Linked DNA regions of Arabidopsis thaliana. The protein of the gene in region 1 interacts with the protein of each later gene in a pairwise test. Each region holds a gene or a part of one and is shown in the gene's direction. Other genes may lie near its edges. The genes, in order: HBT and AT3G14190.

What was found.
Region 2: the proteins of HBT (region 1) and AT3G14190 interact in a two-hybrid assay, tested with the Arabidopsis thaliana proteins (one study listed by BioGRID).

The regions. Positions count from the first base shown.
Region 1 is NC_003071.7:8,631,186-8,638,997, reverse strand, and holds HBT (CDC27 family protein), read left to right. Parts: upstream 1-1,697; 5' UTR 1,698-2,097; coding exon 2,098-2,202; intron 2,203-2,851; coding exon 2,852-2,924; intron 2,925-3,043; coding exon 3,044-3,153; intron 3,154-3,289; coding exon 3,290-3,336; intron 3,337-3,424; coding exon 3,425-3,522; intron 3,523-3,600; coding exon 3,601-3,887; intron 3,888-4,193; coding exon 4,194-4,349; intron 4,350-4,501; coding exon 4,502-4,715; intron 4,716-4,839; coding exon 4,840-5,048; intron 5,049-5,139; coding exon 5,140-5,205; intron 5,206-5,332; coding exon 5,333-5,452; intron 5,453-5,557; coding exon 5,558-5,634; intron 5,635-5,716; coding exon 5,717-5,836; intron 5,837-5,937; coding exon 5,938-6,157; coding exon of another isoform or gene 6,158-6,208; exon of another isoform or gene 6,209-6,246; coding exon 6,247-6,528; intron 6,529-6,623; coding exon 6,624-6,674; 3' UTR 6,675-7,039; downstream 7,040-7,812. Other genes in the region: AT2G20010 (Gls protein (DUF810)), read left to right, coding at 1-2, 102-1,021. UniProt on the Arabidopsis thaliana protein: Component of the anaphase promoting complex/cyclosome (APC/C), a cell cycle-regulated E3 ubiquitin-protein ligase complex that controls progression through mitosis and the G1 phase of the cell cycle.
Region 2 is NC_003074.8:4,708,508-4,713,278, forward strand, and holds AT3G14190 (uncharacterized protein), read left to right. Parts: upstream 1-1,975; 5' UTR 1,976-2,107; exon of another isoform or gene 2,108-2,389; 5' UTR 2,390-2,399; coding exon 2,400-2,466; intron 2,467-2,550; coding exon 2,551-2,826; intron 2,827-2,912; coding exon 2,913-2,956; intron 2,957-3,088; coding exon 3,089-3,283; 3' UTR 3,284-4,062; downstream 4,063-4,771. Other genes in the region: ASIL2 (sequence-specific DNA binding transcription factor), read right to left, coding at 1-114; AT3G14200 (Chaperone DnaJ-domain superfamily protein), read right to left, coding at 4,374-4,502, 4,598-4,771. UniProt on the Arabidopsis thaliana protein: Required for the maintenance of centromeric cohesion during interkinesis, until meiosis II. Required for regular configuration and segregation of sister chromatids in meiosis II. Also required for centromere cohesion during meiosis I.

The DNA.
Region 1 (7,812 bases):
CGGTAAGCAGTTGATTGTTTAGTTTTTGGAATAAAAAAGCTCACGCTTTGTTCATTTCACTTATGGAGTTTCTGGTTTTGTTTTTATATGGTTTCTATTAGGCTCGCGGAATACGTTTCTACCCGTTTTGCCTGCTTTAACAAGATGCACGGTCGGGTCCAGACTACATGGTGTATTCAAGAAAAAGGAGAAGCCAATGGTAGCTTCTCACAGGAGAAAATCACAGCTGGGGACGGGTAATGACTCGGCGGAAATACTTCAGTTCTGTTGCAGGATCAACACTCTGCAGTATATCAGGACAGAGATCGAATCATCTGGGAGAAAAACATTGAATCGTCTCCCGGAATCCGAAGTTGCAGCTTTGGATGCTAAAGGTAAAATATTTGAACAGTCGATTAGTTATTGCTCGAAAGGAATACAGCAATTGTCTGAAGCAACTGCTTACAAGATCGTCTTCCACGATCTGAGCAATGTTCTCTGGGATGGTCTGTACCTCGGGGAAGTTCCTTCCTCAAGGATTGAGCCGTTTCTTCAAGAGCTCGAACGGTGCCTTGAGATTATCTCCTCATCGGTTCATGACAGAGTCCGAACCAGAGTCATTTCGGACATCATGAGAGCTTCTTTCGACGGGTTCTTATTGGTCCTCCTTGCAGGTGGACCATCGCGTGGCTTCACAATTCAAGACTCTGCTGCCGTAGAAGAGGATTTCAAGTTTCTATGCGATCTTTTCTGGTCAAACGGAGACGGATTGCCTTTGGATTTGATCGAGAAGGTTTCGACGACTGTCAAGAGTATACTTCCGCTGCTGCGCACGGATACAGATTCTTTGATTGAACGGTTTAAAGCAGTGTGTCTGGAGAATCATGGTTCTGACAGAGGGAAGCTTCCGTTACCGCCGACTTCTGGTCCGTGGAGTCCGACAGAACCAAACACACTTTTAAGAGTATTGTGTTACCGTTACGATGAACCTGCGACTAAGTTTCTGAAAAAGACCTATAACTTGCCGAGGAAGCTAACCTGAGAGTGACCTACTTACTACATTGGTACAAAACCCGGTTTAGTTTGAAGTGTGGAATATATTTTGGTTAAAGCGGCTAGCGATTGGTATTTGGCAAATTAAATTACTTGTACAAGAAAGTAGAAACGTTTTAGTGAAATATTCTTCTTTTGTACTAATCAAAAGCTTGTGGGCTTTGTTATATGTTGTCAACTGTTATAAATTTGTATATTTAATACCTTTGTTTTTCATCTTTCTTTTTCAAATTTATCAGATTTCTGATTGATAATTCAAGATTGCAACGATGGTTCATGAAATGGTCCTTTAAAAACTCATAATGTTTATGTGATGGATAACATCAGATATATGATGATATGGTTGAAACTTGAAGTATTCTAACTTGAAGTCATGATTCATGATCCGTTTAACAACGTTTGAAATGAGTATCAGAAAATGATTATCGTAGATATGAAACTTTTCCTGCAGACACGTTCTAGTATTTTGCTAAAATAATAGTTTGTTGCTTATTCAACCAAACAAAAACACTTGTTCAAGTAGCGCAATATCTTCGATAGTTCGATTCATTATTATGATACCCTTCTTCGACTTCTTTGATTTCCTCGAGTTCTTCTCCATACGTCACATGACTCACATCGTCAGCGATTTCATGGCAATGTTACATGTGGTGGACGACATGGAGTATCCGCGACCGCGAGATGATCTTGAAGAGGTGTTTGCTTTATGAATGACGATGAATCGGCTCTGTTTTCCTGTTTCCAACGGTTGTAATCACACCATCATCGTTGTCTTCATCTATACTAATATTCAAATGGTCAATTATAAAGCCCAATAAGCTAACTAAGCCCAAAAATGAAAACACACGGACTCAGCCCATACAAATTTTAACACTTAAGGCTAATGGGTCTGTCACGTGCGGAATAGACTGAAAACAGAGCATCGCACGTGCCGCATCAAAATTTGAAATCACGACGACTTCAAAAAAATCCCAAATGGTAAGAAAAAAATAAAAAGTTGCAGAAAAAACAGAAAACCCTCTTTTCTCTCTCTTCTCTCTCTCTCGAGGAAGAAAGGCAACAACTATGGAAGCTATGCTTGTGGACTGTGTAAACAACAGTCTTCGTCATTTTGTCTACAAAAATGCTATTTTCATGTGCGAGCGTCTCTGCGCTGAGTTTCCTTCTGAGGTAATCACCCTCTTCTTTCACTCTCTCTCTCTGATTTTACCTCTCTAATTCAAATTCTGTAAATCGAAGCTCTTGGAATGGTAAATTTGATATTTTTGGGTTTGTAATTCCTCTGGGTATCTATGAATTCGTCGAAAGTGCGTCTCTTTTTGGATTTGGAATTCGATAGCTTCACTGTGTTCTTCGAGATTGATTTTGGTTTCTTACCTTTTAGCCCTTTGTTTTCAAGATCCGTGTGTTCAATTAGGAGATGAATTCGTGTTCTTTTCTCTCTCTTGTTGAATTTGTTTTCTCTAGTAGCTGTGCTCAATGCTCATTACTGATTTGGTCTTTGGAAAATTTGCATTTTGAGGGTTAATGACTTTTGTCCATATATGTGATCTCAAGTTTAAGTATTTATTATCCTTGGAACTTAGCTATGAGTCAACTGTTAGAGGAATGTCTCTGGGATTATCTCAAGCTTTGTTAAAATTTGGGTTAATACAGCTTCAATAGTAGTTGAGAAAGTATTCATTCATTCAGCCTTTGGTCTGGAATATTTTCAACATTCGTAGTGGTTGTCCAGTTTCTAGCTTCAGTTAGTAGAAATCATGTCAATAAATGATTGGCCTTTTTGTTTGATCACTTTCTGAATTTTCCTCTTATATAGGTTAATTTGCAGCTATTAGCCACCAGCTACCTGCAGAATAATCAAGCTTACAGTGCATATCATCTGCTAAAGGGTGCGTGGCATTGTTTCTTGACTTGTTGCTTGTTAGCCTTTTAGTCAGAATTTTGCACCTTCTTTTGTTAGGTCGTTTTGATTATCTTTGTATATATATTTTTTTTTTGTTATGTAAAGGAACACAAATGGCTCAGTCCCGATACTTGTTCGCATTATCATGCTTCCAGATGGACCTTCTCAATGAAGCTGAATCTGCACTCTGCCCTGTTAATGAACCTGGTGCGGAGGTATTTAATGTTCTCTGGTATTTTGCCTTTATTCGCTTACTGAATGTCATTTTACAAAAACAGTGTGTCAGTTTCTGGACCTTATTTATTGATTTAGTTCAGTGAAGATAACAACATGCTTCTGATTATTGTGCAGATCCCAAATGGTGCAGCAGGCCATTACCTTCTTGGACTTATTTACAAGTACGTTTTTTGTTCTGTCTATGCATTTTTTCTTGATTCTGAATGGCTTAGATGAGATGATTCCTCATATATAACAGTGACCTTTTAGGTATACTGATAGAAGGAAGAATGCTGCTCAACAATTTAAACAGTCCTTGACAATAGACCCTCTACTTTGGGCTGCATATGAGGAATTATGTATATTAGGTGAACATAATCCGTTTTCTGCATACTTCACAGATATGTTATGGTTCTCTTACACTTTTCTGTCTGCTCAACTTTCAGGTGCTGCTGAGGAAGCAACTGCAGTTTTTGGTGAAACAGCTGCTCTCTCCATTCAAAAGCAGTATATGCAACAACTGTCAACTTCCCTCGGCTTAAACACTTACAACGAGGAACGTAATTCAACTTCTACTAAAAACACGAGTTCTGAAGATTATAGTCCAAGGCAGTCTAAACACACACAAAGCCATGGCCTTAAAGATATCTCCGGAAATTTCCATTCTCATGGAGTTAATGGAGGTGTTTCGAACATGTCATTCTATAATACGCCTTCGCCAGTGGCTGCACAGGTAATGTCACACAATTGTCGTACTGCTTTTTTATGTAATACAACTATATCTCCATCTGTTGATCACACATTCTGTAGTACTTAGGAGATTTGTGCATCATGGGTGTTGATTTCACAGCGTTTGTATCTGTTTTTTCTATATCTGTTATGCCAAAAGAATGGGTTGTCTATTCTTTTGACTATTAAAAATGGGGTCTTCATTATGTTTTAGTGTCTTTGGTTTGGCTTGTTAATTTTATCAACCTTTTTAGTTATCTGAATAATAACAGCTGTAAGTAAATGCTTTTTTGTATTTTTGAAATTGTAGCTATCCGGTATAGCTCCACCACCACTTTTCCGGAATTTTCAGCCAGCTGTTGCAAACCCAAACTCCCTTATTACTGACAGTTCTCCAAAGTCCACTGTTAACTCTACTCTTCAAGCACCTAGAAGAAAGTTTGTAGATGAAGGAAAGTTACGTAAGGTAGGATTCACATAATCACATATCTCTACTTGACATCATCAAATCATAATTTTGAATTATTGGTCTTTCTCTGTAATAGTCTATTTCGTACTCGGGATGAAATTTTCTATACCAACTTTCTTACCGTGAGTGCATGTCTCTTATGTTTGCAGATTTCTGGCAGACTATTTTCTGATTCTGGTCCACGACGGAGTTCAAGACTGTCTGCTGATTCAGGGGCAAACATTAATTCAAGTGTTGCAACAGTAAGCGGAAATGTGAACAACGCTTCCAAGTATTTGGGAGGTTCTAAATTGAGTTCTTTGGCACTTCGTTCTGTAACACTTCGGAAGGGACACTCCTGGGCAAATGAAAACATGGATGAAGGTTGTGACATTCCATGCACTATACCACTATATTGTTTGAAATCTGCCCTTGTGTGACTATTGTTATCATGCCTTCTATTTTTGGTGTCTGCATATTTGTAATACCGTCATTCTGATGGGTTTAGGGGTCCGTGGGGAACCTTTTGATGATTCAAGGCCTAATACTGCCTCAACGACTGGTTCTATGGCTTCCAATGATCAAGAAGACGAAACAATGTCGATTGGTGGCATAGCAATGAGTTCTCAAACAATCACAATTGGTGTTTCGGAAATTTTAAACCTCCTTAGGACACTCGGAGAAGGGTGTAGACTTTCATACATGTACAGGTGTCAGGTAGGCATATTATTGTTCTCGTGAATTATGCAAGTGAGGTGAACCTATATAGGCTTATCTCATTGTCTCCTTCTGCTTCTGGGTCGTTCAGGAGGCACTGGATACGTATATGAAACTTCCACATAAGCATTATAATACAGGATGGGTTCTTTCCCAGGTAACTAGTGACTCTTTCTCTTTTAGGCTGCCATATATGGATATAGCCTGAATCAGTTTTACTCTAGTGGCCTGTGATAGTTATTGTTGAAAGGTTTATATACACATACTATGGCTATTAAATGTAGGTCGGGAAAGCATACTTTGAACTAATTGACTATTTAGAGGCTGAAAAGGCATTCCGTCTTGCCCGTCTGGCTTCTCCTTATTGCTTAGAAGGAATGGATATATACTCTACGGTCCTCTATGTAAGTGTATTATCCTGGTTTCTAAACATGCAATCTCGGATGAGTGCGGAAAGAAATCACATTTATGTAAATTTTTCATCAGCAAGATATGATATTTATTTGCAGCATTTGAAGGAAGACATGAAGCTGAGTTACTTGGCTCAGGAACTAATATCAACCGATCGCTTAGCTCCTCAATCTTGGTATTTTTTGTCGAAGTTGTTTTTCTGATTAACGTTTTCATTTATTGTTGGTAATAAGAGAAATAAGCAATCAATTATGTAGGTGTGCTATGGGAAATTGCTATAGCTTGCAAAAGGACCATGAGACCGCACTGAAGAATTTCCTACGAGCTGTTCAACTGAATCCAAGATTTGCATATGCACATACCTTATGTGGCCACGAGTAAGAGAGCCTCTATCCATTTGACTTTGTCTTGCACAATGTGCTTAAAATTATCTGGTTATTGGTCTAATTGACACTTTCTATCTTTACTGTCTCTGTAGATACACAACTCTTGAGGATTTTGAGAACGGAATGAAAAGTTACCAAAACGCACTTCGTGTAGATACAAGACACTACAACGCATGGTACGGGCTTGGAATGATATATCTACGCCAAGAGAAGTTAGAGTTCTCAGAGCATCACTTCAGAATGGCTTTCCTAATAAACCCGAGTTCCTCTGTTATAATGTCTTATTTAGGGACATCTTTGCATGCCTTGAAGGTTATCTTATTACTTTCATCTTATCAGGTCTACAAGAAAAACAATCTTTGAAGAATGACTAAATGCTTCTTCTTGTTTTGTGTTAATAGAGAAGTGAGGAAGCACTAGAGATAATGGAGCAAGCCATAGTAGCAGATAGAAAAAACCCTCTTCCAATGTACCAGAAAGCTAACATACTTGTCTGCTTAGAAAGATTAGATGAAGCTCTAGAAGTTCTTGAGGAGCTCAAAGAGTATGCGCCTTCAGAGAGCAGCGTTTACGCTTTAATGGGCAGGATCTATAAGCGGCGAAACATGCACGATAAAGCCATGCTTCATTTCGGTCTAGCTTTAGATATGAAACCGCCTGCAACTGACGTTGCTGCAATAAAGGTTCGAGTCTTTAAAACAGAGTCGTCCAATGATGGTTTTTAAATCTGAAAATTCAAGGATTCATAGCTTAAACTGGTTATTATTGTCTGAAACAGGCTGCAATGGAGAAATTGCATGTTCCAGATGAGATCGATGAGAGCCCGTGAAACCATAGCTACTCCAAGAACCTTGGGTATGAATTAATGTGAGACCGTTGCTGCTCCACGAACCATGGGTATGAATTATTTAGTGCAAAGCCTACCTCTTTTAGGGAACTAGTTGGGTTTGAATGTAGTTTTGTTACCAAACCGTAACACAGCCACAAGAGCCCACATGACTTGAGTATGTATCATGAGTTGATCTGTATGTTGTCCGTAACACTACCTAATCGCAATATATGATTTTTCCACATCTACATATACATTTTACCACTTAAACCTTGTTCATCAAAAGATAATTTATTTCGTTAGTTTTTAAACCTTGATTCAAACTTATATCTTTATTTTCCAAGAAATATCTAACAATATTGATCGACTGAGATATAATCAAAAGATACGGCTTCGACCACATACTGTACATGGTTTAAATTAACTTGTACACAAAAAAGTCTTTTTATGATTCATCTTTGTTTTCAAATTGAAGAATTCCCTAAGTAATATATTTTGTTTTTATTAAATGAAGCAGGGACACACAGACACAGTATAGTAAAGTAATCAGCGAATATTTTTACCATAAAAGTAAAAATTTAACAATTTAAAAAAAAAAAAAAAAAGTCAACAATTATTCTCCCAAAATGAAGCTGAGAACAAATCACGGATGTTGAATATATAATTCACGTGAATTATAATCTCATGATGATTATAGAAATTTTACGTAATTTACGAGATTTGCACTCAAAAATGAAGAAGAAGAAAAACGTAACTTGCGAGACTTTTGATACGTATAATTCTATAATTATATGATTTTTTTTTCTTCCGAACAATCATAACTCGACTTTCGGTGGGATTAACGAACGTCACTGATTCTGACTTTTGTGGTTATTTGCCTCAGTTTATATCGTTTGAAAAGTAACGGCGACGACTACCAGTAAACATTTACGACAAATCCTATGATTGCCTTTGCTTTTATAACTTTCTTTTTTTCTATATTATATGTTTAATCCTAAAGTTTGTTTTGGACTCTTTCATACATATGTTTATAATTGCTTATCATGTTATAACCGGATTTCATAAAACTAGGGATAGTACACAATTAATTAAGATCGCTATACTTTTGTTTTCTAGTTAAAGAAAGTACATACAAAAG
Region 2 (4,771 bases), on another chromosome or scaffold:
ATAAGAAGGCGGACCTGCCGAAGCCACCGTAACCGTGATTCGTCCCGCCGGCGGGGAGGAAGACGGATCAGGTGAATCGGAACCCTGAGATCGGATGTCTTCATCGTCCTCCATGGAATTCGATATCGCCGGATCTGAGTCAGAAGCTCGTGAAAGAGGGAGATAGGGTTAGGGTTTGGGTTAATATTCTGTTCGGGAGGGGTAAACGGGAAGGAGACGGCGTCGGTGAGTAGAGGGGACACGTGGAAGGACGTGAGAAGATACGGGGAGATGACGTGGAATGACGTGATTGGTAGGTCAGAGGTAAGATTCCGTCACCGGTAAAGTTGCCGGCTCGGTTTAGGGGTAAAAGATGGGTTTGTATCGTAATTTCCCCATTTCTTCGTAATCCGATGAGGAAGTGTATTGACGGAAAAGCCCATCTAGTTTTACTATAATTACCGGAACTATCCCCGTGAACCATTTTTCCGGTGATGTACCGAAATTACCCTTAGCCTAACCGTCAGTTTCAATATCGGTCGTAGACTTTTTTTAGTCCGTCGATAGTTTCCAGTTGTCTTCCTTCGTTGTCTTGCTTCATTCGTTAAATCGATTCGAATTAGTCTCTCTTTTAACAATAAGAACGGTGACGTGGATGTTATTTACTTTGGGCATGGGTTTTTATTGGGCTTTCCATACGCTACGTTAGCATGTTATCACTTAGTATCATTTTTTCTTTTCACCATTGTCAAAGATACAACTTTAAACATTCCAGAAATACTATGTTTCAAAAAGACCTTATATAATCTTCGTGAATTGTGAAACAAACAGAAATTTAATATTTCTCAAATCTCAAAACACCAAAAGCGACCATTATGTTATGTACACAGCAAATATATATATACAAAGAAAAGTAGTTTGGGATACTTCTTCTTCTCGTAGAAATACCTTGTAATATTTTTCAACGGTCCAATGCGTTTAGCACAATCCTGCAGTATTACCGGACGTTAATTAGATATGGTGGTACTAATGAAAGCGATAATGCGTTGGATAAAATGAAGTATAGTTTGAGAGGAAAGAAAAGAGAGGGAGATCAAACCAATCGCAAGCATTGAGACTTGTAGCATGTGTTTCACTTGGTGTTCCAGCTGCATACAAATGATTTTGGTAATCATTAATTTACAAATCCATAATACTCTCAAGCTAATAATGATTATGGATGTCAAAATAAAAAAAAAAAATAATAAAAAAAAGCTTATAATGACTATGAACATATGTATCACCTTGCAAAGTCTTTAATTTACATGAATATATAGGGTTTTAACTGCTCATAACACAAGCATAGAAGATAAAAAAAAAGTGGATCAGAAAGGATTTTTAAAAAAGGTAACATAAGAGTCAAAGGGGAAACGGGGTTGCTTGAACGGTCAGGAGAATTCGGGACACGTTTCAGATCCACCATCAACTTCCGGTTGGCACTTTCACCGGATATGTGGTTTCTCAACTTCCCGAGACCATTTTCCGGCGTTGGACCGGCCAAAGTTTCATCCCACAACTTGTGCGAAAAACCCATATCTCTGATCAAATTATTAGAAGGGTTTTTCTTGTTAATTGTCTCTAATGTGTTTTGAAAAGAGTTTTTTTTTTGTTAAGTCTTCTTTATGTGAGGATAATGGTTTTATATAAGGAACAGGAACGAGAAGCGTTGAATATCCTTGGTTAGACTAATTATATACACTTTACCTATAATTTAACCTTCCAAAATTAAGGAGATTTAATCAAGGATGATGATAAATCTAGCCGATAAGAAGATAACTTAGAGAAGTGTGACATGTTTTGCTTCTATCTTACATGATAGTTTGATGCCGTCAATTTGATTTATGTGATGGGCCTGTACCTGGGCCAATTCTTGATTAGGCCTGCATTAAAATATTCTGCCAACGGCTAGAAACTTTTTCTCTTCTTCTATAAATTTACTTTTTTTGGCCTAATCCCGGAGGTTCTTCATTATTTCGTCAGAACAACATTGAAAAGTTACCGTTAAACACTCTAAGCGCTCTTCTTCATCTTCTTATACACTTCTCTTCCAACAAGAATCTCACCAAGAAACTTCTTCACTTTTACAAAGGTAATCTCTTTCTTCCTTCTGATTTAGGTTCACATTATAGACTGTTCTTCTTGCGATTGTTTGTTCTTCTTTTCGTATGTCGCTACTTGATTCGTTCTGGGTTTCTGGGGTCTGTGGTGTTAAATTTGCTTGAGGATCGAATTGGGTTTTGTGAAAAAAACGATCTTTGTTTCGATTTCGAGTTGGGTTTCTGTTACCTTTTTTAGGGTTTCTAATTGCTTAAAATCGTCAGTTCTGGAATCAAATCTTCGTTTCTGCAATTGGTTCTTTGATGATTCACAGTTAAAACCATATGGCGAACATGAACGCTCTTCAACAAATGATCTTCCCAGACGAGAACGCTCCAATTCATCGCAAAAGTAGTTAATCTTTCTCTACTCTCTTTAAATCATATTGCTTTGAAACAAAGATTTAACATTTTCTTTCTTGGCTATTATTTACAGAGTCTGTCACTGCTGCTTCTGTGAAATCCAAAGGGACTGTACTTGGTCAGAAGAAACCTGGAGGAGCTCGTAAGGCTCTGAATGATATTACAAACAAGTCTGGGATTCATGCGAAAGCTGCTGCTTCTTCAAAGAACAAGCAAATTGCTTCTGCTGCTGTGAAAGAGATTGATATAGCTGGGGAAAGGTTTTTACATGATCACAGCAAATGCATCAAAGAACAGCAAAATCTTTGGGATGATCACTACTCTGCTGATCTCATGCTACTTCATCATGGTATTGTATTTAGATCTTCTAAGCTATGATGTTTAACCAATCTTTGCGAGTAAGCTTGTGCTAAACTTGATCTTTTGTACTTGCAGGTTCCAGCATCAAGGAGAAGCATCTCAATTGGGACATTGAAAAGGTACTGTACTTAAAAAACAATGTCTATCTCTCTGTCTTTGATGGAGATTTTGGTGAGACTGCATCTTTAATCTAGTTTTGGAACTTAAAGTGACACTTTTTATGACTCTATCCTATGTGTTTTTGGTTTCAGATGGATGCTAAGGACGATCTGACTTACGAAGAACCAGAAGAGATGGCATCGCCCAAGTTTTCTGATTGGCTGAAGAACTCGACTCCATGGCGCTCTCCAATCCGTCATGGCTCTATGATGCCTTCCACTCCTCTGGCTTGGCGGTTCGATTCATGCGAATTCACACTTAAAGAAGACTCTGACGACCTCTTCTGAGTTTCTGTTTCTTAATGTCTTCAAAATTCATCCTTCAGATGAAGTAGTAATAGTAGTAGTGGCGTTTATCTTTTGTTCAGCTCTTCATGAATCACTCTGTGTCTATCACTTTGTAACTGGTTTCAGGAAATAAAGTTGGTATCTTTTCAAGTATTTTGACTATTCATCAAATTTGTGCCATATTCAGAATCTGAAGTTTCGATTTACACTGTCATGTTTCAAGCCACAATCCTAAACATCATCAGAATTCACTTTTACAAACATTCATCTCTTCAACTGTGAACTTACATTGCCGTTATCCTTGACACTATTGGTGACTTCTGACTCTTCTCTCACTGTCTCTATCCTCGCGACTGTTCCGTAACACCTCTAATTGAGCTTTAAAGGACTGCATTTTCTGCAACTCAAGCTCCTTCTTCTCCTTCTCCAGCTCCACCACTTGTTTAAGCTTTATACCACCTTTTCATAACTTGCTGCAAATCCAACTATTGCCATTGCCACCTCTCCAAGCTCCATCTCATCCACTTTTACCCGCGGTGGCAGCAATAATGGTAGTTTACTGTCGTCAACTGAGTAAGCAGAAAGTTCAAGTTCAGATTCTAATTCAGTCTCAGAAGCAACTCTTTTCCTGAAATGCCATCGTTTTGGATCACCACTCGTTGTTCAGATTTTGATTCAAGTCTCAGAAGCAATTATTTCTCACTCTCTAATGGTTGGTAAGATAAGAAAGGTTCGACCAAAATGGAACAAAAAATAATGTAAATTTTTATGTAATCAAATGCTGAGACAATCAATAACTAATAAGAATATAGAAGGAACTGTGTTTGATCAACATAAAGCAATTGATTTCATCGATCTCAATGATCTTTAACGATTCTTGCTTTTAGGAGACAACAATTCAATGACAGCACAGGAGAAACAAAAATAAAAATAAGAAGATTCTAGAGAAGGAGGTGGGTAGTTTTACAAAACGACGACCCTTTGAGTTTCGATGTATTCCTCATTGAGAAGACAACAACCACTCATCTTGTCTGCGACTAGTCGACAAATGTGGGGAGATGAGTTAGCAAAAAAATATGGTGTGAAGTGGCTATGAGGTGGGGACTCCATAGTTGTTTGACGACGACGTTTCGTGACCAGCCGATGGAACATTGTTCTTTCTCCTGTTTCTTCTTCCGCCATTGTTTTTCCCTTTCTTGAACTCTTGCTGATGGTCCACCTGCTGATCCACCAACACCAATTCATCATTCATCAAGAAGAGTATTATAAAGTGACTCTGAAAAGGAAGAGTTTGAAGTGGTTTCAGTTCCTTACCCCTAAAGAGAAGGAATGAGCTCTCGGGTCATATCCGAAAGGATCATTATTCATCCCCATCGAACTTGTCGCAAACGAAGATGACCGCTGAGAATTTGTATCGAATACAAAACTACGAGATGAAGTGAAATTTGAAGTGGAGCAGGACGATGATGATGGGAATGCTGCAGCGTC